4 linked regions of the Diceros bicornis minor genome follow. The protein of the gene in region 4 interacts with the protein of the main gene of each other region in a pairwise test. Links are inferred from orthologs where the notes say so. Each region holds a gene or a part of one and is shown on either strand. Other genes may lie near its edges. The genes, in order: KLHL12, ATXN2, SPP1 and BAG6.

The links.
Region 1: the proteins of BAG6 (region 4) and KLHL12 interact in binary tests that used the Homo sapiens proteins (3 or more experiments, as listed by UniProt). The two-hybrid records come from large-scale screens. The link is inferred for Diceros bicornis minor from reciprocal best matches to the Homo sapiens genes BAG6 and KLHL12.
Region 2: the proteins of BAG6 (region 4) and ATXN2 interact in binary tests that used the Homo sapiens proteins (3 or more experiments, as listed by UniProt). The link is inferred for Diceros bicornis minor from reciprocal best matches to the Homo sapiens genes BAG6 and ATXN2.
Region 3: the proteins of BAG6 (region 4) and SPP1 interact in binary tests that used the Homo sapiens proteins (3 or more experiments, as listed by UniProt). The link is inferred for Diceros bicornis minor from reciprocal best matches to the Homo sapiens genes BAG6 and SPP1.

The regions. Positions count from the first base shown.
Region 1 is NC_080777.1:30,938,133-30,945,755, reverse strand, and holds the start of KLHL12 (kelch-like protein 12), read left to right. Parts: upstream 1-4,623; 5' UTR 4,624-4,722; intron 4,723-4,792; exon of another isoform or gene 4,793-4,971; intron 4,972-6,406; 5' UTR 6,407-6,445; coding exon 6,446-6,640; intron 6,641-7,623. UniProt on the Homo sapiens protein: Substrate-specific adapter of a BCR (BTB-CUL3-RBX1) E3 ubiquitin ligase complex that acts as a negative regulator of Wnt signaling pathway and ER-Golgi transport.
Region 2 is NC_080774.1:9,832,697-9,840,508, reverse strand, and holds the start of ATXN2 (ataxin-2), read left to right. Parts: upstream 1-4,798; 5' UTR 4,799-5,088; coding exon 5,089-5,321; intron 5,322-7,812. UniProt on the Homo sapiens protein: Involved in EGFR trafficking, acting as negative regulator of endocytic EGFR internalization at the plasma membrane.
Region 3 is NC_080747.1:71,991,775-71,999,614, reverse strand, and holds the start of SPP1 (osteopontin), read right to left. Parts: upstream 3,016-7,840; 5' UTR 2,936-3,015; intron 1,821-2,935; 5' UTR 1,808-1,820; coding exon 1,754-1,807; intron 1,642-1,753; coding exon 1,603-1,641; intron 1-1,602. UniProt on the Homo sapiens protein: Major non-collagenous bone protein that binds tightly to hydroxyapatite. Appears to form an integral part of the mineralized matrix. Probably important to cell-matrix interaction.
Region 4 is NC_080753.1:33,107,181-33,114,987, forward strand, and holds the start of BAG6 (large proline-rich protein BAG6), read left to right. Parts: upstream 1-4,800; 5' UTR 4,801-5,012; exon of another isoform or gene 5,013-5,035; intron 5,036-5,061; exon of another isoform or gene 5,062-5,075; intron 5,076-5,108; exon of another isoform or gene 5,109-5,175; intron 5,176-5,646; 5' UTR 5,647-5,659; coding exon 5,660-5,767; intron 5,768-6,899; coding exon 6,900-7,017; intron 7,018-7,132; coding exon 7,133-7,329; intron 7,330-7,566; coding exon 7,567-7,620; intron 7,621-7,781; coding exon 7,782-7,807. Other genes in the region: APOM (apolipoprotein M), read right to left, coding at 594-619, 1,012-1,110, 1,290-1,388, 1,483-1,556, 1,845-1,999, 2,393-2,506. UniProt on the Homo sapiens protein: ATP-independent molecular chaperone preventing the aggregation of misfolded and hydrophobic patches-containing proteins.

The sequences.
Region 1 (7,623 bases), on a different chromosome or scaffold from region 4:
AATCACAAACTGGTGACCTGCAGGCCAGAAACGTTCACAAATGTTTTGTTTGGCCTGCACGGTGGCAACAATTGACTGCAGCTCAACAGCAGCTCTGTCCTTTAGAGAGGGCTTGTGCTCTCCAGGGCATCATTGTCCCTACCTAGTCTGCTTCACTCATTGGAGTCACCTGCCTGGCCCCTGTAGGCATCTGAGTTTGCAACCATTAGTATAGAACTGGAAGGAAACAGACACATCTGATCCAACTCCATGCATTTTCTACGTGAGGAAATACGGAGATCTGTAGCAATTGGTGAGGCTAGTGTGCACGTTTTCCCATCTTTCAGTAGTAGACAGGACCAGCGAGAGGATCTGAGAGGACATTTACTGAGCATCTACTTTGTACTTTTCACATGTCATTTTATACCTTTTTATCTTTAATCCTGTGAAATAGGTAGTATTATTCCATTCCACGTATGAAAAAATTAAGGTCCCAACAGACTTAAGACTTTTTTCCAAGACGAGACAGGATTAGAGCCAGTATCTGAATCCAGATCATTCTGATTTAGACCCCATGTTCTAAAGCCTCAGATCATTTAAAAATCCCTTTTGCTCCTGATTTCAGTATCTTCCCTTGTCTTTATCAGAACTGCTAACTAGCAACAAGTAAATATTACCTTCTTTCTGTAACTGCATACTGTCGATGCACATAATCCATAATCAGTCTATAAATCAAAATTGGGGTATTATAAGCCAAATTTGAGGACCATATAGCCCAGGGCCTTCCTTCCCCAAGGAAGGAAGGGCACCAAAGAAGTGGGGTGTACAGAATGGTTATATACTGTCAAAGAGCATGTATCACATATGATTGCAATGTCCCTTTTACAATAGTCACAAGATCGCCCTGCCAGATTGCCCTGTCAGCATAGAGATTGATGGACACAGCGGGTAGCAAGTCTGCTGTCTCAATGGGTGTGGCAGGTACCAGGTCTGTTGTCTCAAGTTGGGTGGTCACAGGATAAGAGCAGCAATCAAATCCTAGCCTAGGGAGAAATGCTTATCCTTAAGGAAATGCTGATGTGGGGGAAGTTGCATCTATACCTTAAGGACATTTGTTCTTGCCTTTGGGACATGTTAATTGCTTAAAGCAGATATACAATGAATGTTCAGAGGCCACAGGCCCCTTTTGGAAAAACAAGGTCAGGCCGAGAATCAGTTTTACACCAAATGGCTTCCTCATATGTTCCAATATATCCTATTGCTTGCCATTTATTTATCAAAACTTATGGTTCATTCACTTACTTCCTAAATACTTGAGGATCTGCTGTGTGCTAGGCACTACAGGAGAACAAGTAAATGATGACAGAAACACCGGTAGGCTGTGATTAAAGAAAGGCCAAGAATAAAAGGTAAGGATCTGACTCTACCCTCTTCCTATAAATAAATAAAAAATCAGGGGAGAGACTAACATCTCTATCTATAGAACATCCATTTTCAATTAAATAAAAAGAGAACTTTGGGAACCTTAGTAAACTCTTAAGTTATTACAAATGGATAAGATCCAAAGAATTTATTTTTTTTAATTTATTTTTTTCCCCCAAAGCCCCAGTAGATAGTTGTATGTCATAGCTGCACATCCTTCTAGTTGCTGTATGTGGGACGCAGCCTCAGTATGGCCGGAGAAGCAGTGCATCGCTGTGCGCCCGGGATCCGAACCCGGGCCGCCAGTAGCAGAGCGCGTGCACTTAACTGCTACGCCACAGGGCCGGCCCCCAAAGAAATTCTTAAATGCTCTGTTACTCTGGTCCTCGGGGAAGCATTCGCCAAGATGACATTAAATATGCAAGGATTTTATTAGAGGAAATGCTTATATGCAAAGAAAATATGCAGGGACCCAGAGAAGTTTGGGAGAGCCATCACACTGCAATGCAAGTCTGACCCCCATGAAGGAAATAAGGAGAGAAGGTCGGGAGAAGCGTCCTAGACTGCTTTGCAGTCCACGCAAGTTTTAGCAAAGCACTCTGTTTGAGAGAAGTCCTTGATCCAAAGTCTGCTGACAAAAGAGTCCCATAAAGGGACTCTTAAAGTCCCTTTATTATAAAGAGTCCCAAAAAGGACCCAGAAAAGGTCCACCTTAGTATCTCTGCTATGACCCATGGGGGCAGAAGCCAGCCCATATGAGGCATGATCTGGGCCTGAGTGCAAAATTGAGTGATGACTTTCAAAGCAGCAGCTGGGCCCCTGCCTTGATTACATTCAGTAATTAAGAGGTGTATTGTCATGTCTGCCACACTCTGGTGGCGCAAAAACGCAACGTATTCTGCCCAGCTGGTTTAGAGATTCGACCTATACTCTATGTACATGATCTAGAGCGCCAGGGCAAGTTCTGTTTTCCTTTACCAAAACCCTTGACAAGATATAAACACCCAGAATTTGGAGTGCCAGGTCCAAACCATCAAAGCAGGATTATGTATGGAAACTGACCAACTCACCTTATCCAGACCCAGCCCTCCAGAATGGACCTAAGAAACTCAGAGTTAAGTTTGGGCTGTAGTACTGGGTCGGATAGTCAAATGAATGAAAATATTCTTGTGTGGGAAGGATAGTGTCCGTGCCTTAAAGACCCAAAATATGCCAGGACTATACCACGAAACAGCCTGCGTCTTGGCTTTCTTGCTAATAGTTTCTCCATCTTTTATTATCTGGAAAAGAGGTGGGCATAATCTAAACAAAACCTCTTTTATTAAATGCCCTCTCATATTTGGAAAAATTCCCAATTTAGCAGCCAGGAATTAGGCAATATCATTAAAGTGCTATTTTGCATCCACAAATCAAGGGTTTATTTTTACTTTTTATTTAAATTGCTTGTTAGTACCAACGAGTCGATTCCGACTCCTAGCAACCTTTTGTATAGCAGAGTGGAGCCCTGCCCGAACTTTTTGAGCCATCCTCTCGCCTTCTGGCGCCATATCAGACACTGCTCTGCTGCTATTCATGGTCTTCATGGCCAATTTTGGGGGGAGTGGGTGGCCAGGTCCTTCTTCCTGGTCTGTCTTAGGTTGGAAGCTCTGCAGAAACCTGTCCACCATGGGTGACCCTGCTGGTATTTGAAATACGGGCAGCATAGCTTTCAGCATCACAGTAACACCTAGCTGCCAAAGTACCGACAGACAGGTAGTGTGGTTCCCTGACCAGGAAACAAACAGGGCTGCAGTGGTGAGAGCGCAGAATCTTAACCACTAGAGCCCCAGGGCTATTTAAATTGCACATATTTTTAATTCATATAATGAAAACTTCAAAAGGCACAAAAAGATATAGAGGGAAAAATCTCCTTCCCACTGTCTCCCCACCAACCAGTTCCTCTCTCCGAAGAAACCAGTGTTAACACTTTATTTTGTATCTTTCCAAATGCATTTTATACATATACTAGCAAATACGAATATTTATATTTTGCCAACATTTTACACAAATAATGGCAAACTATACACACTGTTTACAACCTCACGGTATCGGATTGTACGGATGTACCATACTTTATTGATCCAGTCCCCTACTGATAGACATTAAGGTAGTTTTTAATCTAATCTACAAACGACCTTGCACACACATTATTTTATGAATGCACGAGTATATACGAAGGATAAAATTATAAAAATCGCTCAAAGGATATCTGCATTCATAATTTTGGTGAACTTTTCCAAAATGCCCCCAATAGAATTTGTACCAATCCTGCACTCCCACTCACCCTGTGTAAATCAGGGATAATGTTAGATCAGAGACAGATGATAGGAAATTTAGAAACACTAGGTAAAATTAGATTGCTATCCACTTGGCTATGGTTTTATTATCGCTAAAGAATCAAAGGCGTCACAGAGGAAAACAGTATAATCAAACACGATTAGTTTGTACGTTTACATCAGTTGAACCAAGGAACCTCATTCCCTTCCGAGCCTCTAAGAAAAGTGCGCCAAAATCGATTAGAAGCAAAAACGCTCAGCACCCATGAGCTAGCGAAAAGTCAGCAGAAGAGGAAGATGAGGACTACTGGGACTTCTAAGAAGACTCACAACGTCTAACCCCTGGTGACCACGAGTTCCTTCCACTTAATTGTCTGGGAGTGCAAGAGGCAGAGGACATGACCTCAGGAGTGACGACCGGCCCCTCGCGATGTGGAGAAGGCTGAGGTGAGCGGAGCGCAAGGCTCGGAGGATTCTCACCGCAGCGGTGGTCGCCTGAAAAGGGGCAACGCAGACACGGACTTGAAGCAATCTGAAGACCCGGGGGTTTTCTCGACGTGAGAAGGTTCCCGAACACCTGGCAGGTAGCACAGACTCCCTGCAGTGAACTCCTCAGCCTAGAAATCTGTGGGATCCTCTCAAGCGGCCTGCGTCGTGACCCCAAGAGTACCTCAGTCTCGGCCGCTCTCCAAGCGGGCGGGCCGCCCTCCGCCCACCTGCCGTTCGCTTCCTGTCCCGGGCTGGAAACCCGGGCCTGCGGGCACCGCGACGCCCCCCTCACGTGACGCAGAGGGAACGGAAGGGGCGGACCTCGTGCTGCGTACGTCATCAAGCTGCGCGGCCGCGGGGACCTGGTGACGGCTCCGGAGCCTGGGGCCGGGGTGGCGGTGGCGGCGGCGGCGGCGGCGGCGGCGGCGGCGCTTGGGCTCCACTTGGGCCCCCTGCTGGCCCCCAGCCTGTTCCCACGGACGAGGCGCGGCCGGCGCGGGGTGGGCCGGGAGCGGAGGTGAGTGCGCGGAGCCGGGGCCGCCGCCTCCTCCCGTCCCTCGACTCCAGCATGGGTGCTCCGCCCTCGGTCGGAACGGGAGAGATGCGCCCCGGGCCTCTGCCTGGGTGTCGGGGCGGAGACCGCCTTTCCCTCCCTCCTGCCTGGGGTTGAGCCTTCCCTGAGCTCGACACCGCTCCCCTCCCCGAGTCTCCTAGGGCGGAACCCTCGGATGTTCGCGCAAGTTCTAGAATAGATCGCCTCGGGAAGGTGAGGCGAGGCAGGAATCCCCGGGGAGGAGAGCCTGGAGGCTGCAAAGGCGGGTCATAGGCTGAGCCCTGCCATAATCCGCAGCAAGTCCTCACACTGCCTCAGTGTGCGTGTCTTAGACCTTCTTACCAGAGTTGAAACTAAGTAGGCTTAAGGAAAATCTTTTTGAAAAACGTCATCTGCTTTGATGAATCATCCTTTTCTGTAAAATGTATCTTGCACAGTTGTTGGAGGGATTACCTGGAGTGCTTGTAGGATAATATGCTAACTGTAAACAGGAGTAGATGAGAATTTAGGGTCTCGTTTTTACTATTCAAAAATTACCGTTGTGGGTTGTGGACTCTTGAAGAACGTCGTTTGATTTTTTTTTTCCCTTAGATCATTGAAGAAAGTTTGGATTCCAGATAAGATAGACTCTTAGTAACCACGGTATTTTACTCCCCAGAAATTGTGTTTGACGCAAAAAAAGAAAAAAATAGTGTGTCTAAAGCCTGTCAACAATCAAGAAAATACTTCTTAAATTGGTTTTTTGATACGTGATCTCTTACTGAGTTCATTTAGTTGATGCATACAAGTGAACTTTGCAAGTGACCAGCTATGGTAGTAAAATCAGTGGTGGAGTTTTGATAGGTTTCTATCCTAATGAGGCTCTCTGTTTCAGTATAGAAGAATTACTACAGCTGTTGATTTGTTAATGTTGATGGACATTTACTAATAAGATAGAGTAGGAAGACCCCCTCTATAGCAGAGCTTCAATAATGTGAGAGAAAGTCTGTGGATAAGCTTGCATGGTTTCCATTACTCAGTGTAGGTACCGGGTCTTCATTTGAAGTGTAATTTTAAGAAGAAATCCAGATATAGTTGGAAATCATCTTAAATAATTCCTTGCCTACTTCATTAGAAAAAAGTCCATTTTCAGTGACCCTTTATTGCTCGTAGTTGAATACACAATTTTTCTTTTGTTGCATTGAACTACTAGACATTCATTGTACACCTGCTAGCGTAGAAAAAATATGTAAAACGGGATCCCCATCCTCTACGTACGTACGTACTTAATCTTATGGATGGATGTTAAATAATACTGATATCACACTTTTAAGAAATTTTATCTTTTCATCATTTTATCATTTGAGACAACAGCCTTGTAAAGATGCAGGACATGTGAAGTTTCTGTTTGCAATACAGTTGAGTATTGATTATAATAAATGTCAAGTGGTAGGTGTGCTCAGTAATAGCAGAATTCAGAAGAAGAAGAGATCCTTTTTACTTGGGATAGTTAGTAGCTATATTGTGGCGGTAATGCCAGGAATAGCAGTGTTCTCTACTGGTGGGTGTTTGGGTCTGAGGAAGCCTCCTTAATTTGTAAAGCTAATTGAATATATTCAGTCTCCCCAGTCCTTCAGATATGCTCATTTTTTTTTTTTTGTACTTGTAGAATCCAAGGACACCTTTCATTCCTTCTCCATATTGCTTGATGGGAGGCACTATGGCCCCCAAAGACATAATGACAAATACTCATGCTAAATCCATCCTCAATTCAATGAACTCCCTCAGGAAGAGCAATACCCTCTGTGATGTGACATTGAGAGTAGAGCAGAAGGACTTCCCTGCCCATCGGATTGTGCTGGCTGCCTGTAGTGACTACTTCTGTGCCATGTTCACCAGTGAGGTAAGTGGTAAGTTATCCCCTCACAAATGACAGTCACACATGTAACCTTGTAATTGCCTCATTTTACTGAATAAAACGGTAGAAGTTTGATGTAGTAGTGAATTTCTATAGTATGGTGGTTAAATGGGCAGGCTCTGGATAAGATCTGCCACTTGGCCATGCCTTAGTTTCCTCATCTCTACGTGGGATAGTAGGAATGCACAATAACGTGGTTATTGTGACGGTTATTTGAGAACATTACATATAAAGTGCTTAGAACAGTGTCTAGAATGTGGTAAAACACAAATGTCAGCTATTGGATTTTAGTTACTGTTTTTAATTTTGTTTTCCTGTTTTGCTCCTTCTAACGTTTAATATTTTAAAGTGAATACCAGGGGGATAGAGAGGAGGGAAGGGAACAGAAGGGATTCAGTGCTCTTCCCCCTCCTCCTAACGATATTGAAGAAAATTGGTATTCACTCTACTAGTGTAGGTTTTAGAGTTATCTCGAATGAGAGGAGGAGGACTTGATGAATGACTGTGTCGGCATATGGAGGATAACTTGGAAAGAGATGCTGACTCTGGAGGATATACAATTAAAAGGAATTAGGAAAAGGCTGGCTTGACAAGAAAAAAGGTAGTGCTCACAAAGCGTTAAGAAAGACTGCCTTAGTAATTGGCAGAACATTTAAAATGTAGAGTAAAGCTGTTGAATACATTGTGAGCTGCTCCTAGAAAGCTGAACAGAGCAGAAGACTGCAACTTTTTTATTTTTCAAGATCTCAAGTCTGATTTTTAAATTTTAAATAAATTATCTTGATTTTTTCTTAAGCTTGAGCTGTGAGTACACCAGTGTTTATTAGATCATTTATCTACATTTATACATATGCTTGAAATATTTCATTGTGGTAACACTTTTTTTCTTTTTAACCACCAATATGGTCTTCAGTTGGTCCCAACACCTCAGTGAAGATGTTGCTGCTGGATTTGAATAGAAGAGCTAG
Region 2 (7,812 bases), on a different chromosome or scaffold from region 4:
AAGTCTGATCTCTCCGGGGTTCCCTTGCGGGGTCTCCTGTAGCAAACTTAATAAGATCCCATGCTAATGCCCAGTTCAGCTGTCACTGGTACCGCGCACATCCATTTTAAATCCCCTCCTGCATTCTCCAAATGGCGCATACTTCAAATCTCTGGCTTTCCGTAAATCTGTGGGCCCTGAAATAACAGCCTGCCCACAAAATTTACCCCAAAAAGGGGGTGAATGAAAACAAAAAGGGAGAACCAGGAAGAACAAAAGGCTGAGTTTCTTTAAATTTCTAGCTCTGCACAGCACAAGCATTTCCAATGAAAAATAAAGAATTCTTTCTTCTGTGTCGATTTCAGCTGGCATCCAGCTTTTGCCTTGTGAATAATGTCACTGCATCATTATTCTGTCCCACAAGGTAAAAAACACTAAGCAACTTAACAACCAGAAGTGTGCTCGTGTGGAGGAAACGGCTCATTTAAAAGCTTTTCAAATAATGTTGCTGTGTTCCCTACTATTTTGCCACCCCCCCCTCAGTTTTTTCAAACCTATGGGAAAGTTGTTACTTTGCACACAAGGTGTGTACATAATGCCCTCCTGGAAGCACCCCACACTTTACACTTTCTCTTTTTTTTTTTTTATTGCTTTTAGCCTTTTGGGATTCCTGGAGTGTCTACAAATAGATTAGCCTCTAAGAATTCTGAGTAACCATGGTTAGAAAAAAACACTGGTTTAATTAGCCATGGTCCTATTTTTGAAATTACATCTGCTCTTTTTTTTTTTTTTTTTTTAAGTGAGGATTGGTCTATGCAAAAACTTGAAGAGGATGGATTTTGGGGGGGGTGCATGTTAGTTCTGATTTGAATTAATTTTCATGCTTTTGAAAGCAAAATCAAGAGTATTGAGTGAATAATGTATCATCATACATTAAACATGATCGAATGAAGAGAGCTGAAAAGAAATGATTGCAGAAAAATGAATTGCTGGAAATACTGGATCATCTGATGTGTGCTGCTGTATCGTGTGATAGCAAATGACTCTTCGCATTTCTGCTTTGCATGGCTACATCAGTTTTTCATCTCCACATCCTCAGACTTGATTAATCATTGAAGTGATGAAAATTAAAGGGCCATGTGCCTTGCTGAAGGGTCATTGAAAATCAGAAAGCAAGTAGAGAATCCATAAGACTAGATTCCCAAGTTTGAAAGTCTTTCTCTATATGTTTCTCACTTGATACTTTCATTTCTGAAATAGTGGTTGAAACGGCCACAGCTATTTTTGAAGTTTATATTTTAGAAATACTTCTCAATATCAGAACTCTTTCAGGACAGTGTTTTTCATGGCCTTTGATGACAACTCTTCAGCAACACTTGTTGGTTTTATTTATTTATTTTTAATAATTTTATTTATTTATTTATTTTTCCCCCAAGGCCCCAGTAGATAGTTGTATGTCATAGTTGCACATCCTTCTAGTTGCTGTATGTGGGACGTGGCCTCAGCATGGCCGGACATGCGGTGCGTCGGTGCGAGCCCGGGATCCAAACCCCGGGCCGCCAGCATCGGAGCGCGATCACTTAACCGATAAGCCACGGGGCCGGCCCAACACTTGTTGGTTTTAAACAAAACCAACAATGGCTGCCTGAAAATTGGGGCCGGGGGAAGCACTCAAAAATGTAACTTATACTGGATATACTATTAGTTCCTGACTTCATTTGTCTTTAAAGAATTCTGAATGCACATGGAAATCACCAGAAATGCACTTTTTTTTGGGGTCATCTGTATCAGTTATCTATTGCTGTGTAACAAATTCTCCTAAAACTTATTGACTGAAACAACAAAAGGGTTAGGAATCTGGCGTGGCTTAGCTGAGCATCTCTAGTTCAGGGTCTCTGGAAAGGCCTACTAAGGTGCTTCGATCAGGGTTGCAGTCACAACAAGGCTTGACGGGGGAGGGGGGGGGCGGGGGGGGGGGTGATCTGCTTCCAAGCTCACTCACCTGGCTGCTGGCCACCATCAGGTCCTTGCTGCTGTGGCTGGAGACGACAGTTCCTTACCATGTGGGCCTCTCCACAGGGCAGCTCACAACATGGCAGCCACCTTTCTTCAAAGCAAGTGAGTGAGAGAGGGCAGTCCAAAACAAAAGCCAGTCTTCTTTTCATATAAAACTAAAGCCCTCTGACATCACAGTTGCTGTTAAATAACCACATCTTCAGAGGTCTAGAATTCAGGTGAGGGGTTTGCAGTAAGAGATATTTTTTGGTTCTGGGTGGTGATCCTCCTTCCATAAAGAAAAATGGGGAAGTGTATAAAATAGAATAGATAGTAGAGGTTCTCTTGGTTTCCGTTTTAATATAAAAGCAGAAATCAAATTTTAATGATAAACCCTCAATATTTCAGGCGTGGATGTAAAATGGTATAGTCACTTTGGAAAAGAGTTTGATGGTATCTTAAAAAAGTTAAATATAAATTTACCATACTATCTAACATTCCATTTCTAGGCATCTACTCAAGAGAAATGAAAACATATGTCCACGTGAAGACATATGTTTACAAATGTTCATAGCAGCATTACTCAGAATAGCCCCAAACTTGAAACAACCTAAATGTCCACCAACTGGTGAATAGATATACAAAAAGTGATATATTCATACAATGGCATATTACATGGTGATAAAAAATAATGAAACACTGATACGTGCTACGATGTGGATAAACCTCAAAAACATGTGAAAGAAAGCAGACAAAGACCACCTATTGTAAGACTCCAATTATACGGAATGTCCAGAACAGATAAATCCATTGAGACAGGAAGTAGATTAGGGGTTGCTGGGGCTGAGGATGGGAACGAGGAGTCACTGCAAATGGGTATGAAGGATCCTTTTGGGGTGATGGAAATATTCTGAAATTAGTGATGATGGTTTCACAACCCTCTAAATTTTCTGAGAATCATTGAATTGTATACAAAATGGGTGAATTTCATAATATGTAAATTATGCCTCAATAAAACTGTTAACAATATATTTTCAGTGATAGTAGATGAAACTTTGAGCTTTCTCAGCGTAAATGAAATCAAGTTCAGCTACGTCAGCCTCAGGCCTTCTTATTCCACTTGTTTTTCCTCCCATTTGTCTGGAATTTGGTCCTGAGATTGAACTCTGGGACCTTGGTCCCAGATATAGCTGTCAAATAATTAAACCAGAGAAAGTTGATTGTACTTCTATTATGGCCCTTCTATTTTTTTTTTCCTCATCCGTTTTTTTAGTCTCAATTTCCTTTGGGTTAATTTTTAAAGGATTTTGCAAACGTTGGTTTAAAAGAATACTATTTTTTTTTTTTTTCCTTCAACCTCCTTTTACCTCATCTGGGAGAAAAGCTGATTTCCTACTTTTCAAGTGTTTGCAGAATATAATGATCATTTTTGCCTGAACTATCTTGGAGATTAATTTCAATTTGGCTACTGGAGACTCGTGGCTTAAGCATTCTCCAAATTTTTCTGTTTTTACCTTTATCTGACAATTCTGGGAGATTGAGGGGAATTTTGGTATTTTCCTCCTATTTCCTGAAGTCGTTACACTTTTTTAAAAAACTAGATTCCTTACTCAAAACAATCAAAAAGTTATCTACTTGCTTCCAGTTTAATTGCAACACAGTCAAAAAATGGACTACTGTGCTGGCTACCAACCTAAGTTAAAGTAAAACTAAAGGGGCCAAGGTCTAAAGCGCGCACCTTCTTGTGAGGTCTGTGCTGTCTCCACCGAAGGAGCCGCTATTATCCATAACTCTACCAATCATGTACATTTCCTTTTGAGTCTCAAGAATGAGGAAAAAGAAGTCCAAGTGAGGGGAAATGGGTTCAAATGAAGGTCAGATACCCAAAAGTTTTCCAGTTACTGTGTTACTGGGGTGAAAAAAGTGGGCAAAAGGTAACCAGATCTGGGTGGCCCCAGGAAGTGGCTCGATTCCAACACTGCCATTCTTGGTACAGAAAGAGAGGACAGCCTGCCTTTGAGACACCCAGTGACACGTGAGAGCCTACTGTGTGCCAGCTGCTGGGAATACAAAGAAAACTGTGGGATGCTTGTGTTCTAGGTGCTTTATACGGAGCAAGGCAGTCTGCGCCCAGAAAGCACTCCAGTCCATCCTCTAGGTTGCATCAGGTGGGGGCTGAGCAAGGTGTCTGTGCAGTGGCCGACACCTCCTGTTGCACACGGATAATATCTGAGTCTCCGTCTCGCTCTCTCAAATACGAGAGGGCGGACTCGGATTCTCCTAGCCGTGCGAGGACGTTGATGGACTATTGGGGGGCGGGAGGCGGGGAAGAAACGCTTCCCTCCGGTCCTCTACGCTAGGCCGGCCCTGCAGGCGAAGACAGACACGCCCTCTCTGAAAGGCAGACCCGCCTCGAGGAGGGCGGATCCGGCCAGGGCCGGCCGCCGGGCCCTCACCCGACCCCCGCGAACGCGGCCCAGCGCAGCGCCCGATCCTCACGTGTCCCTCCCGGCCCCGGGCCGCCTCACGTTCTGCTTCCGCCCGACCCTTCCGACTTCCGGTAAAGAATCCCCGTCCCGCACGTCCGCGCCCACCCGGCATCGCCACGCGGCGCCTCTGTGGGCCCGGCGCCCGATGCGCTCGGCGGCCGCAGCTCCTCGGAGCCCCACGGCGGCCCTCGAGCCTCGCCGCCTGGCCGCGGCCAGGTGGCCCGGGCGGCGCTCGCTCCCGCCGCCGGCGCGGCGGAGCGGGCGGGGCGGCGGCGGCGCGGCTCCGGGCCCGTATCCCTCCGCCGCCCCTCCCCCGCCCGGCCCCGGCCCCCCTCCCTCCGGGCAGCGCTCGCCTCCCTCCGCCTCAGACTGTTTTGGTAGCAACGGCAACGGCGGCGGCGCGGCCCGGCCCGGCTCCCGGCGGCTCCTCGGTTTCGGCGGGCCTCCCCGCCCCTTCGTCGTCGTCCTTCTCCCCTTCGCCGGCCCGGTCGCCCCCCCGGCCGCGCCAGCTCGCGCCTCCCCGCTCGGCGCCCGCGCGTCCCCGCCGCGCTCCGGCGTCTCCTCGGCGCGCCCGGCTCCCGGCTGTCCCCGCCCGGCGTGCGGGCCGGTGTATGGGCCCCTCACCATGTCGCTGAAGCCCCAGCAGCAGCAGCAGCAGCAGCCTGCGGCCGCCAATGCCCGCAAGCCCAGCGGCGGCCTTCTCACGTCGCCCGCCGCCGCGCCGCCGCCGTCCTCGTCCTCAGTCTCGTCGTCCTCGGCCGTGGCTTCCTCCTCCTCCTCCTCCTCCTCCTCCTCCGCGGCGGCGGCGGCGGCGGCGGCGGCGGCGAGCGCAGGCGGCGGCCGGCCCGGCCTGGGCAGGTGGGTGTCGCGCCCCAGCCCCCTCCGTTCCGAGCCGGCCTGGCTTCGCGTCCCCTCCCCCGCGGCCCGCACCGCCGTCCCCGCCCCGTGACCGGCCGGCCCGGGGGGGTGGGCTGGGGGCCCGCAGTGGGGGTGGGGCTCCCCTGCCGTCCAGAGCCGGGGGGGCGGGGGGTGGGGGTGCCGCCGGCTCCCTGTGAGAATGTCAGGCGGTGTCCGGCGTCCTGCAACATCCCCACCCCCTCCGCCGAACGGTCAAGATGGAAGGCCTGGGCCGCCTCCCCCTCTCGTTTAAGTGCTGGGGAGGGGGTCACAGGTCTCGGCGAGTGTCAGCTCTGTTATACCTTTCTCAAGCCTCCTCCGCCCCCGGGGGGGGATGCTTGGGCAGCGCCCCCACCCCCAGTTGGGATGTTAACGTGGAAGGGTCTTGAGGTTTTGGTTCCGTTTCCCGAAACTTGCCAACTCCCCCATTGGGGAATAACGAGGGAGGGGGGAGAGTTAGGGCAGCGTCCCCCCTGCCTGTTAAAGGGGCAGCCGCAGGGCTCCTCTGGAGTCTTGAGGGTCTGTGCAGTGTCCTTACCCACCCGCCTCCCCGCCCCGGGAAGATGGAAGGGCCAGGTTGAGGGGGTGGGCAGCGGCCCCCCGCACCCCTCCCCATTTAAGTCGCGGCGTCGGCGAGGCTCCAGAACTCCTCGGGAATCGTGGGGCTCTGTGCTGTCTCCCGCAGCGTCCCGCCCTCCCCACCTGAGGACGGGGTGGGGAGGCCCGGCCCCCGCCCGGCCTCCCTCCTTCCCCCGCGAGGCCTCCCCGGCGCGGGTGGCGGCCGAGCCGCATTGCTGCTCCGAGGCCGCGGAGGAGAAGTCGCCTTGGAATAGCGGTGGGCGAGGGTCGGACCCCGGCGTGCTGCAGAAGCCCAGCCGGACTGGGGACATTGTGGGGGGCGGGGGCAGGGAGCTGGCATGTTGCGCATTTTTCCCTAGCCCCCGCCCCAATTTTTGAAATTTCAAGGGGAGAGGGATTGCAGCAGGGGGCATCGTGGGGTTCCTGGAGGCAGAAATGCGGATGTTTACTTGCGTCGTCTCCCCCTCCTGCCCCCATAACCCAGGTTTGTGGTAGAGACCACTGGGGGCTCAGTGTCTTCTCAGCTAACCGGGTCTGACTCTGGCGGGTGTGTTTGTGCGGGAAGGCCTGTTGGGGGTGTGTGTGTGGGGGTGGTTGTCAGTTCGTATTTCACGAACTAGGAAAATGCTTAGTGTTCAAACGGGGCAACAAATGTCAATGGACTCCATTCCATTGTGGCCAGTGTCCTTAACTTGGGGAGTGCCGCCAGAGCTCTCCAAGGGCACGCGAGTCCATTTCCCCGGTGCCCCGGGGCCCATCCGTGTTGCATGGACTGCCATGCCTCCCTTAGGTCTAGGCGGGGTTGGCAGGGTCAGTAAAGAGGATCCTTCTTAAATAGACATTCTGGGCTTTAGAAGGTGGGGTAAGGGGATTTTTTCATGCAGTAAGTTTTGTTTTTGAAAACCGATTTTCAGCAATCCATTTCCAAAGAATTTTCATTTATGGCAGGAGAAGTTACCCATCAGGATGAATCAGAGCTGATTTTTAAGGAATTCTGCTGCCTTCGATGGGAGGAGGGGGAACATGGGTTTTTTGACTTGTGCTCTCCCCCCCACTCCCAGACTCCCCCTTCTCTGAAGCACCCACAGACTACTACCTAGTCAAACTACTTCAAATGAAGTGCTTATTTTCCCAGCTCTTTCCATTTAGGATTCTGCAACTCCATAGTGAAAAATGGAAAAATTTTATATGTAATTTTTATAGAAAAGGATGCACCATTTTTTCCTTCTTAGGTATCAGAAATCTGGCAGATATATTCAACTTGTTCAAATAATTAAAAATTAGAACTAAAGCTTTTACGTTGCATCCACTCTGGTTAGGCTTAAAAATTGTCAAGAATCTGTTCCAGAACGGCTGGAGTGATCAAAAATATTTGGAGTGTTGTAGCACCACAGATCTTTTTCTGTTCGTTGAGGCATCGCAAACATTTAGGGTTAATTTAGATTCCTCCTCCCTTTAAGTTCTTTTACTTGAGGCATAAATTGTGGCCCTTATTCTTTTTGGTAAATATGTGGGGTTTTTTTTTTAATGTATTGGATTCATATAATGTGAAATTTTGTTCTTGTACAGATCTTCAGTTAATATACTTGTAGAATTCCTTTCAATTTTGATCACTGTTACTGGGTTCTTTGTAAGCCATTACAGTTTCTAGAGTCTCACTTATGTTTGTATTAACAGTTAAAATAAGTTTCTGGGACCAAGGGTGAAGAAAGGAAGTGCAGCGTTGGGTTTGACATGGTTAGAGATGGCAAAATATTCTTGAAAGTCTAGAAATACACGTCTGCTTTAAATAATATAACGTCTCATCATATTTGATTCTTTTTGGTGAATAGTGCATTTTCTTGGCTTTCAAAAATTTATTCTGTCTTTACTT
Region 3 (7,840 bases), on a different chromosome or scaffold from region 4:
AAATTCAGTTCCTCAGATGCACTAGCTACATTTTGAGTGTTCAATAGCCACATATGGCTAGTGGCTATCTGAGTGGACAGTGCAGAAATAAAATATTAACATCATCCCACAAAAGTTCTATTTCTCTGAGCTGTCCAAGACATGAATGGAATGGTTTTTCCTTTAGCCAAGTCATTTATCTGGAAAGTGATTATAACATGCTAGTGCAGAGGAGTGGAAATTGCCCTCAATGTGTGTCATCTGATGGGCTGTGTCATCCAGGGCCCATCGCTTCATGTCCCCGTCCTTGGGAACAAGAGTCCGGGGGGCTCCCCAGAGTTGCTTCCACAGCCAGCCCCATGGGGGGGCTTCTCTGAAAGTTTTTTCTGAAAGAAGAGGTTCCTTGCCCAAAAAAGGTACAAAAACTACTGGTCCAGATGAGTTCAAAGTTTCTTTCTCTAAAATAAATATTTATATAAATATTATATATAAATATTACAATTTATATATATTTAATAAATATAGATATATATATTTCCTGATGATACACGTAATCTAGGCTCAGGGAGAATGTATTTACGACTTTCCCATAGTTCCTACTAGCTCTAAATTTCCAGGATTCTAGAAGGTTGAGCTCTTCACTTCTCTCCTAAATATCATTTGATAACTTATATTGCCATGGCTTCATGTGCCGTATTTTATTCTATGAAAAAGGCACTAACCCTTGCCTCAAAGAGTGTGACCTCTATCTTATCTGGAAATGCTAATTTTTCTGGCTTATTACTGTGATCCGATATTTGTGTTCTTAAATCGATTGGAAAACAGACACATCTAAACACACCAACTTGCACACCCAAACACACACAGCAACACCTCTCCGAACGTCTTCATTAAGTGCTCCGACTGCAGTGAGCTCGGGCAGCTCTCTGTTGGCTTTTGTTCTGTTCATTTGAAATTGAACTCTGTGTGCCTTTTTGTCCAAGCTCCTTGGGACAATGCCCGTTTGTTGTTTGGCTGGCACTATTTCACCTATTGTGGAGGGGCAGGTACATCTATGGTTCTGGTCAAATAATTATAATGAAGAATTTGATTTGGTCTTATGTTCGGTTAGAAAAATGTGATCTAAAGTCAGCTGACAAGCACAATAGATACAAACAGCATAAATAGACTTTCATTTTATAGTGGGCTTTTTAGCAAATATCTTAGGAGATATTGTGAATATGACAGTCGTACAAACTGTCCAATATGTGAGGTGAATCTTAAACTTAGCCTTCTGCTAAGGAAAACAAAAGATGGAATTTTCTGCTTCTAGAACAGCATATTGACTCATGGAAAGAAAAAGCCACACAACTTCACAGAACTCATTTTACATAAGTGATAATGGCCTGGAGCATTATTTTATTATATAAAAAAATCTAGCTCAGTCTTAAGAGTATATACTTATTAAACACTTTATTGTGCTCGGCACTGGCCTAGATTGAAAGCAGGCAGTCAATAAATACCTTTATAAATTAACAGCCTTGACCATGAAAATAAGTAAAATTGCAACAAATGTGTTTGCAGTGCTTCTTGCGGCAGATGTATAAATAACTTAACTAGATGATGAACCTAAAAGACGCTTACCAGCTTCTCCTCAGAGCTGCCAGAATTAGCCTGTTGAACCTTTGAAACAGAAACAATGAAAAGAGATTACAATGTGAATGCATTCCTAGCACATGGCAGCATACAACTCATTTATTTTGAGAATTTTTTAAAAAGATTCAGCTGTACTCACTGGAAGGGCATAGGCGATGCCTAAGAGGCATAAGCAAATCACAGCAATTCTCATGGTAGCAATTTTCCTGCAAAATATTTTGTAAAGAATATTCGATCTCGTCATAGGTTACAACAGTGATAACCTTTTAACGATACCATATTACAAAATAATCACAAATAAAATATATTTTCTGTAGAATATTTTCTCTTTTTTAGAGAAATCTTTCCTTTTTAATATTATGATCTTTTGAGTTAATATTTGCAATGCCACCTTTATTCTCCATCTCTCATTATTAGGCAAGGATGGGAGGAAATTTACAAGATTATATTTATTCAACTTTAAAATTTAGAGTTCCAGAGATTAACCCATTACTATCTGATATCTCTAGCTTTCTAAACCTAAAAATAGATCAACAGCAATTTAATTAAAATAATAAGCTAGTGTGGAAATATTTAGTTTTCAGAGAAGAAAAACACAGAGAGAGAGAAAATAAAGCTATGAAAGAAATTTGCTGTCTCCATTTTTCCAGCATGCATTTCAAATGTGATTTTTAACTTCAATTATTAAAAAGGTGCTAATTAAGTGAAATAAAGCTGTCTCTAAAGTTGGTGATTTAAGTAAGGTATTCTAGATATTTGAAATGAAAAAGAAAACATTGAAAACAGTCAACCGCTTTTCTGTTTGTGATAAGTCTACTGAGTGTCATACAGGTATTTTCGTGAAAATTTTAACAGGTAAATACAGATGTAAAATATTCAGAAAGGGTTTTTTTTCCTCCCTGAAAATAGGATACATCAAATCATTAAAAAATAGCATTATCATTGGCTTATATTAGCACTAAAGATCTTTGTCCTTTTAAGTACCTCCACAATCATCTATCCATTTAAAATGATATAGATATAATTATTCCAAAGAGACACCGAATTTAATTTTTTTCTGACTGGAAGAGGTACTTTCAGTTCTTTTGAGGACTCAGTGCAAATATTTTTAGGTTTTATGTTCAACGGGCTTTTAAAATAGCTGGTCACCTTTCCTCCAGGAGATCTGCAATGTATCTTGGCATGTTTATTCAAAAGACTAGAACAATTGTAGTCTGCTTAACAGCCTTCCAGTTAAACTCTTTTCCTTACAACTTGACCTTCCCCCTGATATGAAACTGAATGCTTAAGACAGCAACAAAGTAGCAGACTGCAGGCTTACCTTGGTCTGTGGCTGGCTGAGAAGAGCCAGTCCGAGATGATGCTGCACTGCTGGCCTCCTCTCCTCGCTGCTCACAGCCAGGCCCTCCCAGAATTTAAATGCTGCTCCAGACGGTCTCCACCAACACAGGGAGGAGGAGAGATGTGTCATGAGGTTTTTTGCCACTGCCCAGCCCACTTGCTCCCACACTTCCCCCTCTGGTTTTGTGGTTAAACAAACAAGCAAACACACACACAGACTACTCTACAGTTAAAATGTTACTTAGGTACAATATCATTAAACTAGCTTTTTCATTTATGAGATTGATCTTCAGCATCCTGGAAGGGCACCTAGGGGTCCCCAAAAAAAGGGAGGAAATTGACTAGTTCTTACAAAGACTTTATAATTTCTGAATTAGAAGAAAAAGCATTAATGTGTCAGTCCCAAATAAAATTAAATATAACGGATTTTTGTTTCTTTTGGTTTAAATAACAGATTAGGGTAATATATGCAACCAAATTTGCCTCATAGTTATACTTATTTAAGAGCTACACGGCTATCATTCAGGCGTACAAAGAGTTCAGAGACTGTCCCTCCGTCCTTTGCTATTCAAGCTGGGTTTCTGTGACGTCAAGCGTGCAGCGGCTTGTCATTTAGACCAACGGCATTAGTAACATTAAAATCCACGTTCATGCCCATTAAGTTGGATTTATAAGGGCCTTTCAAGGACGTAGATTTTTGTCGCATTGTTTGAGTTGTTTGCAGATGATGAATCTGATAACGTGCTATATAAAACAGAAGAATTGTGATTGACTGTAAAGGCTGCGGAAGTAAAGCAGTTTCTGAGAGCAGGGCTACTGCTTGAGAGTGCTGTGTGTGCTGGAGTGTGGCTTGGGATCCCACTTTGCCACTAACTAGCGGTGTGACCTTGGGCAAATCACTGAGCCCACCTGTACTTGTGTCTTCACCTGTCGCACGCACACACCATTACCTAGCTCCTGGTGTTTCTGAGAGGTTTAAATGAATTAGCATGGGTAAAACTAGCAATGAGTGGCACATATTATATGCATATTTTAAGCACTGTGTGTGTTAACTATTACTAAAATTTTTAGGAGGAGCAGGTAGTCCTGATTTGTAAAGTCTTTAAATGGAATAGTTTATTAGGATGAGACTAGACGTAAGATCTTTAAACTGTGTACATCAATAGTGTAATTTACACACTTCTAGAGGAATGGATTAGATTCTTTCTGAATCATCTTTTTCTAGTTTTTCTTCCAGGATATATAAAGTTGGTTACTTAGGAAGAAAATTTAAAAAAATTCTATATTTAAAAAACTTTACTGGATATTTAAAAGCTGTTTGAATGAAAGAAAGTTACAGATGAATTTGAATATTGGAACAGAAACTAGAGGTAGCATAGTTCTGACTCCATCCTAAATATTTAATATCGTCTTGAGATTACCTGACCTCTTCATCTACCTTTCTTAGTTGTGAAATGGAGATTGCACTACTCAATTACCTCAGAGCGCCGTTGTAAGAATCACGTGTGGAGTGAGATTAAAGGTAAATGGCCCCATTTATTATTAGTTCTATCGAAGGTGTCAGTTCCTATTGACCAAATACTGCTTTTAATATAAATATGGATTAAATAATTTCTTGCAGTGTTAGTAGTATAACCAATCCATAGGTTTTATGGACATTCGGTGGGGGAAAAATATGTCTCTTTTAAATTGGATGCATTCCAAATGAATTGATACAATTCATTTGCGGGTTCTAAGCACACATTTTAATAGTTCAGATGGCAGCTATCTGTAAAATATAAAGCACTCAGGTTATAAAGTTGCAAAACAGACTTATTTGCTTTTAAAAGCTGTGTTTTTTCGTCTTTAAACACATTACTCACTCACAGAAGTTTGTCATGTTGTCAGTTCAGTGGAGGGAAGTGCACAAATTCTAAAAACAACAAGATTTCCACAAGATTCACTATGGTTTACTCTGTGCCCACGGGAATGATTTAATATGAACTTAGAGAGTTATAGGAATAGATTTCGCTGGAGCCCAGCCATCTCGAGATGAACCAAATGACCCAGCCCAGGACTCTTCCGGTCATAGCTCCAAAGGGCCACACGATGGCAGTGTTTCTGAAAGGGATTTCAGACCACAATCTGGTTCTGTCAGTTTTCTTATTCTGGAAGGATAGAGCATTCACGTATTTAATGACAGAACTATAAAACAGCCATGGGGCCCTCCATTTCTTGGAATGCCAGGTGAGGAAATATTTCCCAACAATGACCTGCTGCACAATAACGGGGAACAGAGAGGCCAAGAGAACCAAAGCATTCTTGTTCTGCTCTGTCCTGGCCTTCAGCAATGCCAGGTGGATGCTATTGTCTCCATCCCCACTTCCCACACTCGCTCAAAAGGTTACTGATCCCGAGGTCTCACTCAGAGTGAAGACTTATGAATTCATGGTTAAAGAATGTGTCTGGGATGCTTCAGAGATGAGAAGATCAAGTGATTTGTAACGGAGGCAGTGCTGTAAAGTATAAAATGGATAGTGTGTCACTCTGAGTTTTGAAGAGGCTCATGCTTCTTGCTTTTTGTAATCAAACATGCTGCTGACATCATTTTCTGAGAAGGATTTTCCAACGGTCAGAATTAACATGTTAAATGATTAAATCAGAAGAGCTTGATCTGTAGCATTTCCACACTAGTTTCATTCTTGATTAGGCTAATGCTTGGTTGTTAGAATCAAAAGGTCGAAATGATCAAATTCCTTGTAATCTTGTATATCGAAAGGAAAAAGCTTAGTTATTAAACTAGAATGAAGAGTGGTTTGTGGTCATAAAATATAGACACTGTAGGGGGCCGGCCCGGTGGCGCAAGCGGTTAAGTGCACGCGCTCTGCTGCGGCGGCCCGGGGTTCGCTGGTTCAGATCCTGGGCACGCACCAACGCACTGCTTGGCAAGCCATGCTGTGGCGGCGTCCCATATAAAGTGGAGGAAGATGGGCACGGATGTTAGCCCAGGGCCGTCTTCCTTGGCAAAAAAAAGAGGAGGATTGGCGGATGTTAGCACAGGGCTGATCCCCTCACAAAAGAAAAAAAAAAATATATATATATAGACGCCGTAGGAGGACATATGGAAATATATAAAGAACATTTTATTTTTTTCTTGAATTACATGAAAATTCTCATATAATGGGAAAATTTACGTGTCCAGATGTCACTGTTTGGTGGACTTTATTATACTGACTTCTAGTTTATTTGGATATTTCTATTTATATTCTACTGAGTAAAGTATAATCAAATTTTTCAACCCTTTTAGCTCTGTCAATAATTATTTTTTCCCCTGAATTAAGGTTCAGATAAAAATCTGATGTCTTGACACCATCAGCAATCTGTCATAGAGAAGTTGGGAATTATAGCCAATCAGAAGCCCACTACAGTATTCATCATTTGAAGTCTAGGGCAGAAGGCATTATTTCTTAGAGGGAGGGAAACGAGGGTGGAAGATAACAGGGTGCTGTTTTTAAGTTCAGACATGAAATGAGAGCATTTCAGAAATACAAAGGAGAAACACTATCAAACTTTTTATCCCATTGCTCAATAACTTAGTCAACAAAATTCAGCTCCTGAAAAAGTGGTCTCGCTATTGGTAAACATTAGTTTCATTTAAAACAACAGAAAAAAGCTTCTTTTTTAGACCCATAGAATTGTTATAGAGTAAGTAAGTACTCGATAAATTGTTAATGATTAACCACTCAACTCTCCATCCATAACAACTAATTCTGAGCATATAGGTCTTGATTATCAATACAATGTGTGGGCACTATGCTTGAATCTGTATATCATATATTGATAGCTAATATTTACCAGGACTCAAGAATCTAGCAGTATTTCTTTTTCTTTTTTTTTGGGTTTTTGTGAGGAGGATCAGCCCTGAGCTAACATCCATGCCAATCCTCCTCTTTTTTGCTGAGGAAGACAGGCCCTGAGCTAACATCTATTGCCAATCCTCCTCTTTTTTTTTTTTCCCTTTTTCTCCCCAAAGCCCCAGTAGATAGCTGTATGTCATAGTTGCACATCCTTCTAGTTGCTGTATGTGGGATGCTGCCTCAGCATGGCCGGACAAGTGGTGCGTTGGTGCGCGCCCGGGATCTGAACCCGGGCCGCCAGTATCGGATGGAGCACGTGCACTTAACTGCTAAGCCCATCTAGCAGTATTTCTTTATCAAAGTATTATCACTAACTCTAAGAGCATTCTAACACTCTTTAAATGATAGATTCTTTAAAGTTGACTTAAATTATTACTTTTTTTTTCTTAAAATGGCACCATTCTTACCCTCATGGAGCCCATGGATTCATGAAAATCAACTAAGAAATTTGTAACTTGAGTAGCCCATGAGGTTAAGAGGGTGTGATTAAACAGTAAACTCATTGGGCTGCGGACAGAGAAGGCACAGGGTGGAGACCCTGTGTCTACACTGAAGTTGAGGGGATGGGTATTTTGGGATAGGCTCAAACAGGAATTGTCTCTGCCCATCCAACATCAATCCAGCAGCATAGAGCTCTATATCTGCAGCAACAAGGGTGACAGTACAGGAGCCTGTAATCAGAGAGGACCCGAAGAGGGGGAGGTAGAAGCAGCAGGGACGGACAAGGAGAAATTCTAGCAGCCACAGGCCCTTGTTAGTGCAGAAAAGACGTTTTGCCACACTAAGCAACCAGCGACAGGCATTTTGCGGAATGTATTTGAGGGGAGAAAAGCCTTCTCTGAAATCAGCTTATGAGAACTCTCATTTCAAATCTGATGTTTGAGTAATTTCAGTAGAGAATCCATTGTAAGGTTGATATGAAAAAGTCACCATTTCAGTGAAGAACAGAAGAAAATCAAAAGAAAGAGGACAAAAAACGGACAGCCAAA
Region 4 (7,807 bases):
TGGCTGACAGACCCAAAGGATCCCTTGGATCCTGGGATCTGAGCCATCCAGAGAAGAGTGGGGCTGTTAGTGGGGTGGAGTAGGGGGTCTGGATGGGAGCCCACAGGTGACAGGGAGTCCGCAGGGAGGATCTGTGGTGTTCCTGGGGAGCCAAAGGAAGTGGGGATGGTGCAGGCAGTGTGGCACGAAGGCCAGCTCAGAAGGGCTGGCAGCCTAGAGAACAGTGTGGGGAAGCACTGGAGCTTGCAGTTCCCACTCGGGGGTTGGGGGTTTGCTCACTTAGCAATAAATAACTGTGTCACACCAAATCCTAAATATACCACTACAAAGTGAGAGTTACCGCCACTCAGTGTCCTTCCTGACGCCGTCCAGCTGGAGGTTTAGATGGCAGAAGGTCCAGGGGGACTATTGAAATGGGAGTAGTGGGATTGATGTCTGGAGACAAATCCCAATGAGACCCTGATTGAAAATCTTTATTGAAATCCTTATTGAAAAATCATTTTTATTATTCTTCAAAGGGAGCTGGGAGTCTCCAGCTTCTCCTTCTCACCACAATCTCAACTCCCATCATATCCATCAGATGAAGCCACAGGTCAGTTACTGGAGAGCTCGCAGGCCTCTGGTGGGAGGAGGGAGAGAAAAAGAGGATGGAAAGGAAGGAAATCCAGGGAGATTCCCTCATTCCCTCATTCCCCTGTGTTGAGAAGGGATCTCTGAGGACTTTTTCCCTCCATGTCTGACCCTCTGCCCCCTTTATCCACGCAAACTCAGAAACCTCTCTTTTGAGTAGCCCAGAGCCCATCCTGGCTCCCTCAGGTGACATCACAGCTCTTGGCCACATCCCTCTGGTGCCATCACAGCCTGTGACACAAATGGAGGGTCAACACAGCCACTCTGATGATATCAGCCTTTGGCCATGCCCTCTGGTGACATCACTTGAGTCCCTTTCATCCAGCACCTGCAGAAGACTTGGTGAGTCCTAGTCCTCTACTGTGCGACTTTACCCCTCACCTTGATTCCTGGGAGTCAGTAAGAAGGCCTTGGAGTCCAGGCAGGAGGTCAGGGACCGGAATTCCTCCACACAGTTCTCAGGAGGGTGTGGCAAGCGATCTGGAAGGGCAAGGCAGGGCCAGGCCCATCAAAGCCCCTGCTTCTTAGCACTGCCCCTGGTGAGGACCTCATGGAAGCACCCAGCCCTTCCTGGGATGATGCGACAGGGCCCAGAGTGAGGAGCTCTCCTGTCCTCCCGTGTTTCCCTCCAATCCTTCCTGCCTGGCATCCCCACTCACTGTAGAGGAGGAAGCGCTGGTAACCCTGGCCCGTCTCTTTCAGCATGATTCCACCTGGGCATGAGCTAGAGAAGAGCTTGGTCTTCATGTCGGGGCGGCCTGTCAGGGTGGGTGAGGAGAAGTGTGAGGACCGAGATGCAAAACCAAGCAAGCCCAGAGGACTTGGGGAGAGTGAGGACTGGAGAGAACCAACCTTCGGTTCTGAGATCTGTGCTCCCCTCAGTCAGGTGGTAAATCCATCTCCGGGGCACACAGAGCCCATTTTTCCTGCAGAGGTGGTGGTGGCAAGGAGGCAAGACTGAGTGACACCCCAACCACACAGTACCAGCCTCTATTTATTCCATCTTATTCCTTCTTGAAGCCCGGGTCCCCTTGGGTTTCAAGCTACCAAGGGATGGTTAGGCCCATTTCTCTCCAGACTGAAACTAATAGAGCTGTTAAACTCAGAGGGCCAAGAATTGTGGATATGCCAAAGCACTCAGCTCTTTGTGGGTAGGTGCTCACACTTCAGGCAGAGACCGCACCTACTGGTGCCTCTGCCTCCTCACCACTCACGTGCGGATGGTAGCACGAAGCTGGAGCTGCTTGGGGGCAGAGTCTGCAGCCATGTTGAAGACAATGTTGTCCACAGGGTCAAAAGTCACCAACTCCTCCTTGGTGGGAGCTGCTCCTGCGATAAAGTACCACCGGCCCAGGTGGGGCTCTGGGAACTGGAGAGACAATAAGGGGAACAGAAGAGGGTGGGTCCCACTACAGGATCCATCCCATGTCTTCATCAGTCAGGATGGCAAGACGTAGAGGTGGAGATGTTGGCTGCCTTTTTCCAGTTGGGGGTTGGATCCATGACAGGGAGTCACTAAATGACTTTTCCTCTTTGCCCCTCCTCAATCAACCTGAGTAACCACCCCACCCCCCAGTTCTACCATGTCTCCACATTGATGGCCACAGTGTTAATATTTTTTTTACTTGTTCTTGCTTTCATCATCACAACACTCACACCCTCTTCCTCCCTCCTTTTCCCAACGTGGCTTCTGGTCATCCTAGGCCACCACTCAAGTCCCTCAGAGCCCCTACCATAAGTTTCTCCCATTCTCAGTCCATACCTCTTTCCCATCCACTCCCTGAGTTGTCAGTTGACTGTACTCAGGACACTGGTAGATGGAGTTAAGGAGAATGCCATAGAGGTAGAGGAGAGCTGCCCAAATTTGGTGGAACATCTTCAGGCAGGAGGCAGCTGGTGCTCTGCATAGAGTGGTGCCTTAACTGCTCTCTTCCCCCGCTGGCTGCTCAGTCCACTCTGCTTCCAGCCCCCTTGCCTCGACCCTTGACCCTTTCACCTGCTAATGAGTAACTTCAACCTTGTTTTCCAACCCAAGCCTGGATTAGTGTTTGGGCCTTCCTCCCCCTCCTCTAGATGCAACCACTCCACAATACACCCTGGCATGTCCAGGGTCTCTCAGGAATTATAAGGAGAGCTGAGCCCTCCAGGCAGAAGCCTGTGGTCTTTCAACCCATATCTGAGCTGGGTATCTGCTGTGTTGTGCAGCATCCAAGAGTGGTGGATTGATTCATTCATTCACTTAGCAAACTGTGTTGAGTCCCAGCTGTTTGCCAGGAACTGGCTAAGCCCTGGGGACATAAAAATGAATAAGACACAGTCCCTGGCCTTGAAGCAGTCAGTCTAAGGAAAACTAGCTGTGTAAACAAATCACTGCTGTACAACCTGGGAAGTGCTTTAGAACAGGTACAAACCACGTGCTGGGGCATGGTGGATAGGAGGCTTCCTCTCTGAAGTTTATAATTGAGGAAACAATATGTACGCTCTCCAGAAAAGTTTCCTGACACATAAGTGAATTCATTCACTCAACGTTTATTACTACAAGAGGCTATATAATCTAGTGGTTGAAGAGGACAGACATTGGTGTCAGGCATAGTGGGTCCAAACCCTAACTCTACTATTCATTAGATTTTGGACAATTTTATTAATCCTTATGCCTGTTTTTTCATCTGTGAAATGAGCAACTCATCAGTCTCATGGGATTAAAAAAGATAATGCACATAAAGCCCTTAGCAAAGGCCTGCACACGGTAAGTCCAAAGTAAATACTCTCTATAATTAATAGTAACGTTTGTAAAGCACTTATTACAGTTTCTGGTGGCTAATAAGTTTTCAAATAGGAGATAAGGAAAGAATTGTCAAGAGGCAGTCATTGGATAGTGCCAAGTGGGTGGAGCAGTTAATGCAATAAAAGGTGGGGCTTCCTTAATAGATTGTTTATAACCCACAGACTGCCAAAAAGAGATTTGTCCTGAGAGGTGAGGCTTGCTATGGGCTTGTGATTGAACAAAATTTGGGAGATGGGTATATCAGGATTCATTATACTATTCTATTTTGGGGTAATGTTTGACATTTTTTGATAATTAAAAACTAAAATACAACGATTTATTGGGACAGTAAAGTAGAAGTGCTTGACCCAGAGCGTGCTGGGCCTGGATCTGTCGGTTCTGCCACTTACGTTCGCCTAGGTGCACTCACCTATACAACGGATGTAGTAACTATCTCAGATGTTGAAAGGCTTTTAAATATGACTACGTAAATCTCTTAGCAAATCGGCGGGCGCAAACTAAGTGCTCACTAAACAGGTGCTTATCAGAACTCTTAACTGAAGCAGTACTGGGACCTGGGTATAAACTATAAAAAGGCAGGGCAAGGGAGTCAGGCACCCCGGCAGCGACGAGTCTGACTGGAAGAGTCGCAGCGCCTCGGGGTCGATGCCCTTGCCCGAGAGCGGGGGTGGGAGGAGAAGAGGGGAGAGAGGCGGTAACTACCTCGCCCCCGCAACCCCCGCCTGCGGAAGCCCCTTAGCAGCCCCTTCAATTCCCCGGAGTCAGTCTTGTGTTTCAGTCCAGTCTGACTCATTTGCTCCCGATTTCCAAACTCAGAAGCGCCCTTTTTTTTGACAAAAGTCCTGAAAGGTGGCAAATCCTTAGCTTCTCCAAAACATGGCGTGTCGCCTCAGCCGTGCACCGCCGGCGAGGAACATGGCGCCCACACTCCGCAAAACGCCCACCGGCAGGACCGAAGTCAGGCCCAACGACTTGATCGCACGCAGGACAGCTCGCGAACCACCTCCAACCGCCTACGGAAAGGGTGACTTCCGCAGGCGCCGAAGATTGGCGCAGCGAGGGCGACAGTGACAGGAAGACAGACTCTTAGGTGGCCAGGACAGTGCCGTATCAAATTCTCTGCCGGCCAAGACTTTAATATAGATTAACGAGGCACAATCCCCAGTATCCAAACTCCAACATCCACAGAACCGTCGGAAGCCTCGCGAGGCAGTCGTACAGTCCCATCTGGTAATTTTTTTTTTCAGGCATTTACAGTGCCCACCTTAACGTCCTATTGCTCGAGCGCGCGCGCAGGAGAAATGCACAGCTCCAGCGGGGGTGGGGCGGTGCCTAAGTGTGTACGCAGGCGCAGTGCCACGCACGCAGGCGCAGTACGGTCCCCCAGGCGACGGCGGCGGCGGCTCCTCGAGGGCTCGGCTCCTTCCCATCTAGGCCGGGCCCGGTCCGTCTTGCCCCCAGGAACTCACTGTTTGGGGCCGCGGACTTCCTGGTCGTGCCCCACAAAAGTAAAGCTTGGGGACCTAGGAGGAGCCGGAAGTACCGCCTCGCGATCCCCAAATACTATCGGGGAAACGGAAGTGGCCGTCGGTGGCAGGTTAGGGGAGACCGGAAGTGACGGTACCGTGGGGAAGTCGGGGGCGGAGCCGCGGAGTGGTGGGTGGGTGGGTGGGTGTGTGTGTGTGTTGGTTGCGCCGCTCTGCTGGAGCACCGAGGGAAAGCGGAAGAGGGGGGCAGTCAGCTAGCCGGTCTGGCCCCCCGTGAGTGTCGGTCATCTCCGGTCTGTGGTGACTTAGGCGCGTTCGATGGTCGTGGCGTAGCGCGCCTGCGCGAAACCACTTTCTCCGCAGTCTGGCGCGACCCTCTCACTCGCGTTGTTACAGGATTTGCCGACCTTTGGGGCCCTTGTCTTATCGCGACCGGTGATGACACTGGTCTCTTGCTTTCTTCCCTGCTTCCTATCCCGATTGGCCCTCCCTTATTGTGATTGGCATCGTGGAGCCCCTCCCACGTCCCGTTCCTCCAGCTCCTTGTGCCGTCGATCTCCTGCCCTTTGTGTTTCTCTCCCTGTGCCCCGGAATCAGAAGGGGGATGGGGGCGGGTGTGAGTGTGTGTGCTTGTGTGAGAGAAACCCTTTAGGTATTGGGGCGGAGACTCAGGCCGGGAGGCTTCCGGATATATAAAATCTGTTCTGGGCGACAGCGGGCCTCCCTCCTTCCATTCTTCCTTAGAGAGCTGTCGGCCATGGAGCCCAGTGATAGTACCAGTCTCACTATGGAAGAGCCTGACACCCTGGAGGTGCTGGTGAAGACCCTGGACTCTCAGACTCGGACGTTTATTGTGGGGGCCCAGGTGAGACCCCAGTACTTCTGTTAAGACACCTATTAACTCTTTCTCTTGTAGGCCCCTTAGCCTAAGAGAAGAGCCTGATTTTCTGGTCCTCAAAATTTCTTGCATTAATTTCTTTGTTCATATTCTAGGCAGAACATTTACTGATGTTTCTTGTTGAGTGAGAAGGTATGGTTTCTGTTGAATGAGGCAGATTTTGTTCTGTCTTCCTCCACCTCGATAGAACTCAATGCAGAGGGAAATATGGAGGAAGAAGGAATCTGTATGCTATCACCATAAGTGAACCCCAGACCAAGGGGCCAGACATGGCTTCTGCCTTTGGGAAGGGAAACAGGACACACAGACCCAAACGCAAGTGTGTCTTAAAAACAAAAATTGGTCGGGTCTATCCTGTGTTTTTAAAGGCTAGAAATCGGAGCCCCTAATGCAGGTAGAGCCCTAATAGACTGTTGAGTGGAATTACTAAGATTTCTGGCATAATTCCTATCTTTTGAGTTTAACACCATGGGGACATGCCATTACTCCTGTAATACTTGGAGACAAAATTGTGAGGAGTTGGTCCATGATTTTTAGAGCATGGTATTACATGTATTTAAGAAAACCGTATAAACTTTTTCAAGTAGATGTATGTAAATAGCCTGATACTTCCCAAGAATCAGTTGTCTAGTTAGTAAAACTTTTTTTGTTTTTTGCTCCCTTCTCTCTCTCTTCTTGGTTGAGTCTTCCTTCCTTGCCCTGATTCTCCACCCCATTTTCCTTGTCATTGCTTTTATCTTTGAGATTACAGAATTGTATCGTTTTGTGTTTGGGGAGGGGTCACCGGTGTCTTTAGACACACATTCCCCTGGGAGCCAGGTAGAGAAAGAGAAAAGAGAATGTCTCTTGGCTTTTCTGTTTCTTAGCTATGTAATTTTCTGCTAGGTGTATAACTTGAACTTTGCTAAGTTTATTGTCTGTATTTTGACCGCTGTTGTCTTAGTTTGGGGCTTTGCCCAATAATTACTTCACAAGTCAAATGGGTAGTGATTTTATGATGGGATGGTTTTTACCCCTTATCCCCACAAGTCAATTGTCCTTCTGTCCTTCTTCTTTCTTCCATCCCTTGATACCTATTCGTGTCTTTTCTTTGTTACAGATGAATGTAAAGGAGTTTAAGGAACACATTGCCGCCTCTGTCAGCATCCCTTCTGAGAAACAACGGCTCATCTACCAGGGCCGAGTTCTGCAGGATGATAAGAAGCTCCAAGAATACAGTAAGCGGGTGGGGAAGGCAGTTCAGAGGTTGAGGCAGCTGTCCAGAGGGATGAGCTGAGGCTGTGGGTTTACCTGCTCACATAATGTTTTGGTGTGTATCTTTTTTTTCTGCAGATGTTGGGGGAAAGGTTATCCACCTTGTGGAACGGGCTCCTCCTCAGACTCAGCTCCCTTCTGGGGCATCTTCTGGGACAGGGTCTGCCTCAGCCACCCATGGTGGGGGACCTTCCCCTGGTACTCGGGGGCCTGGGGCCTCTGTTCATGACCGGAATGCCAACAGCTATGTCATGGTTGGAACCTTCAATCTTCCTGTAAGCTTGTGTTCCATGTGGAAGAGTTTTTGTGGGGAAGGGTAGTTTTGGTTGTGGTAGCAAAGAGCTCATAAGACAGGTGTCCCAGTCTTTAGATTGGGTTTGTAGGCCCCTGTGGTCTGATAACGGCCTCAGTCTCTGAGGAGAAGAGGGTTGGGGCTCCAGAGAACGAGTTGGAAGTGTGGGGGCCTTAGTATTTGGCTTCTCCCAGAGCAACTTCCCTTACCCTTTCCCCAGAGTGACGGCTCTGCTGTGGATGTTCACATCAACATGGAACAGGCCCCGATTCAGGTATCACGGGGCCTGGGAGGGCCAGGGAAGGGGATCTGGGAGAAGGAGGCTGTGAGGTGGGGGTGGACCTGGCTGAGCAGATAGCTGGGACCTGGTTTGGTAGATGGTGGAGCTCATGGCTTCATCTCAAACCTGCCCTAATCTTCCCTCTCTTGTTGTAGAGTGAGCCCCGAGTACGGCTGCTGAT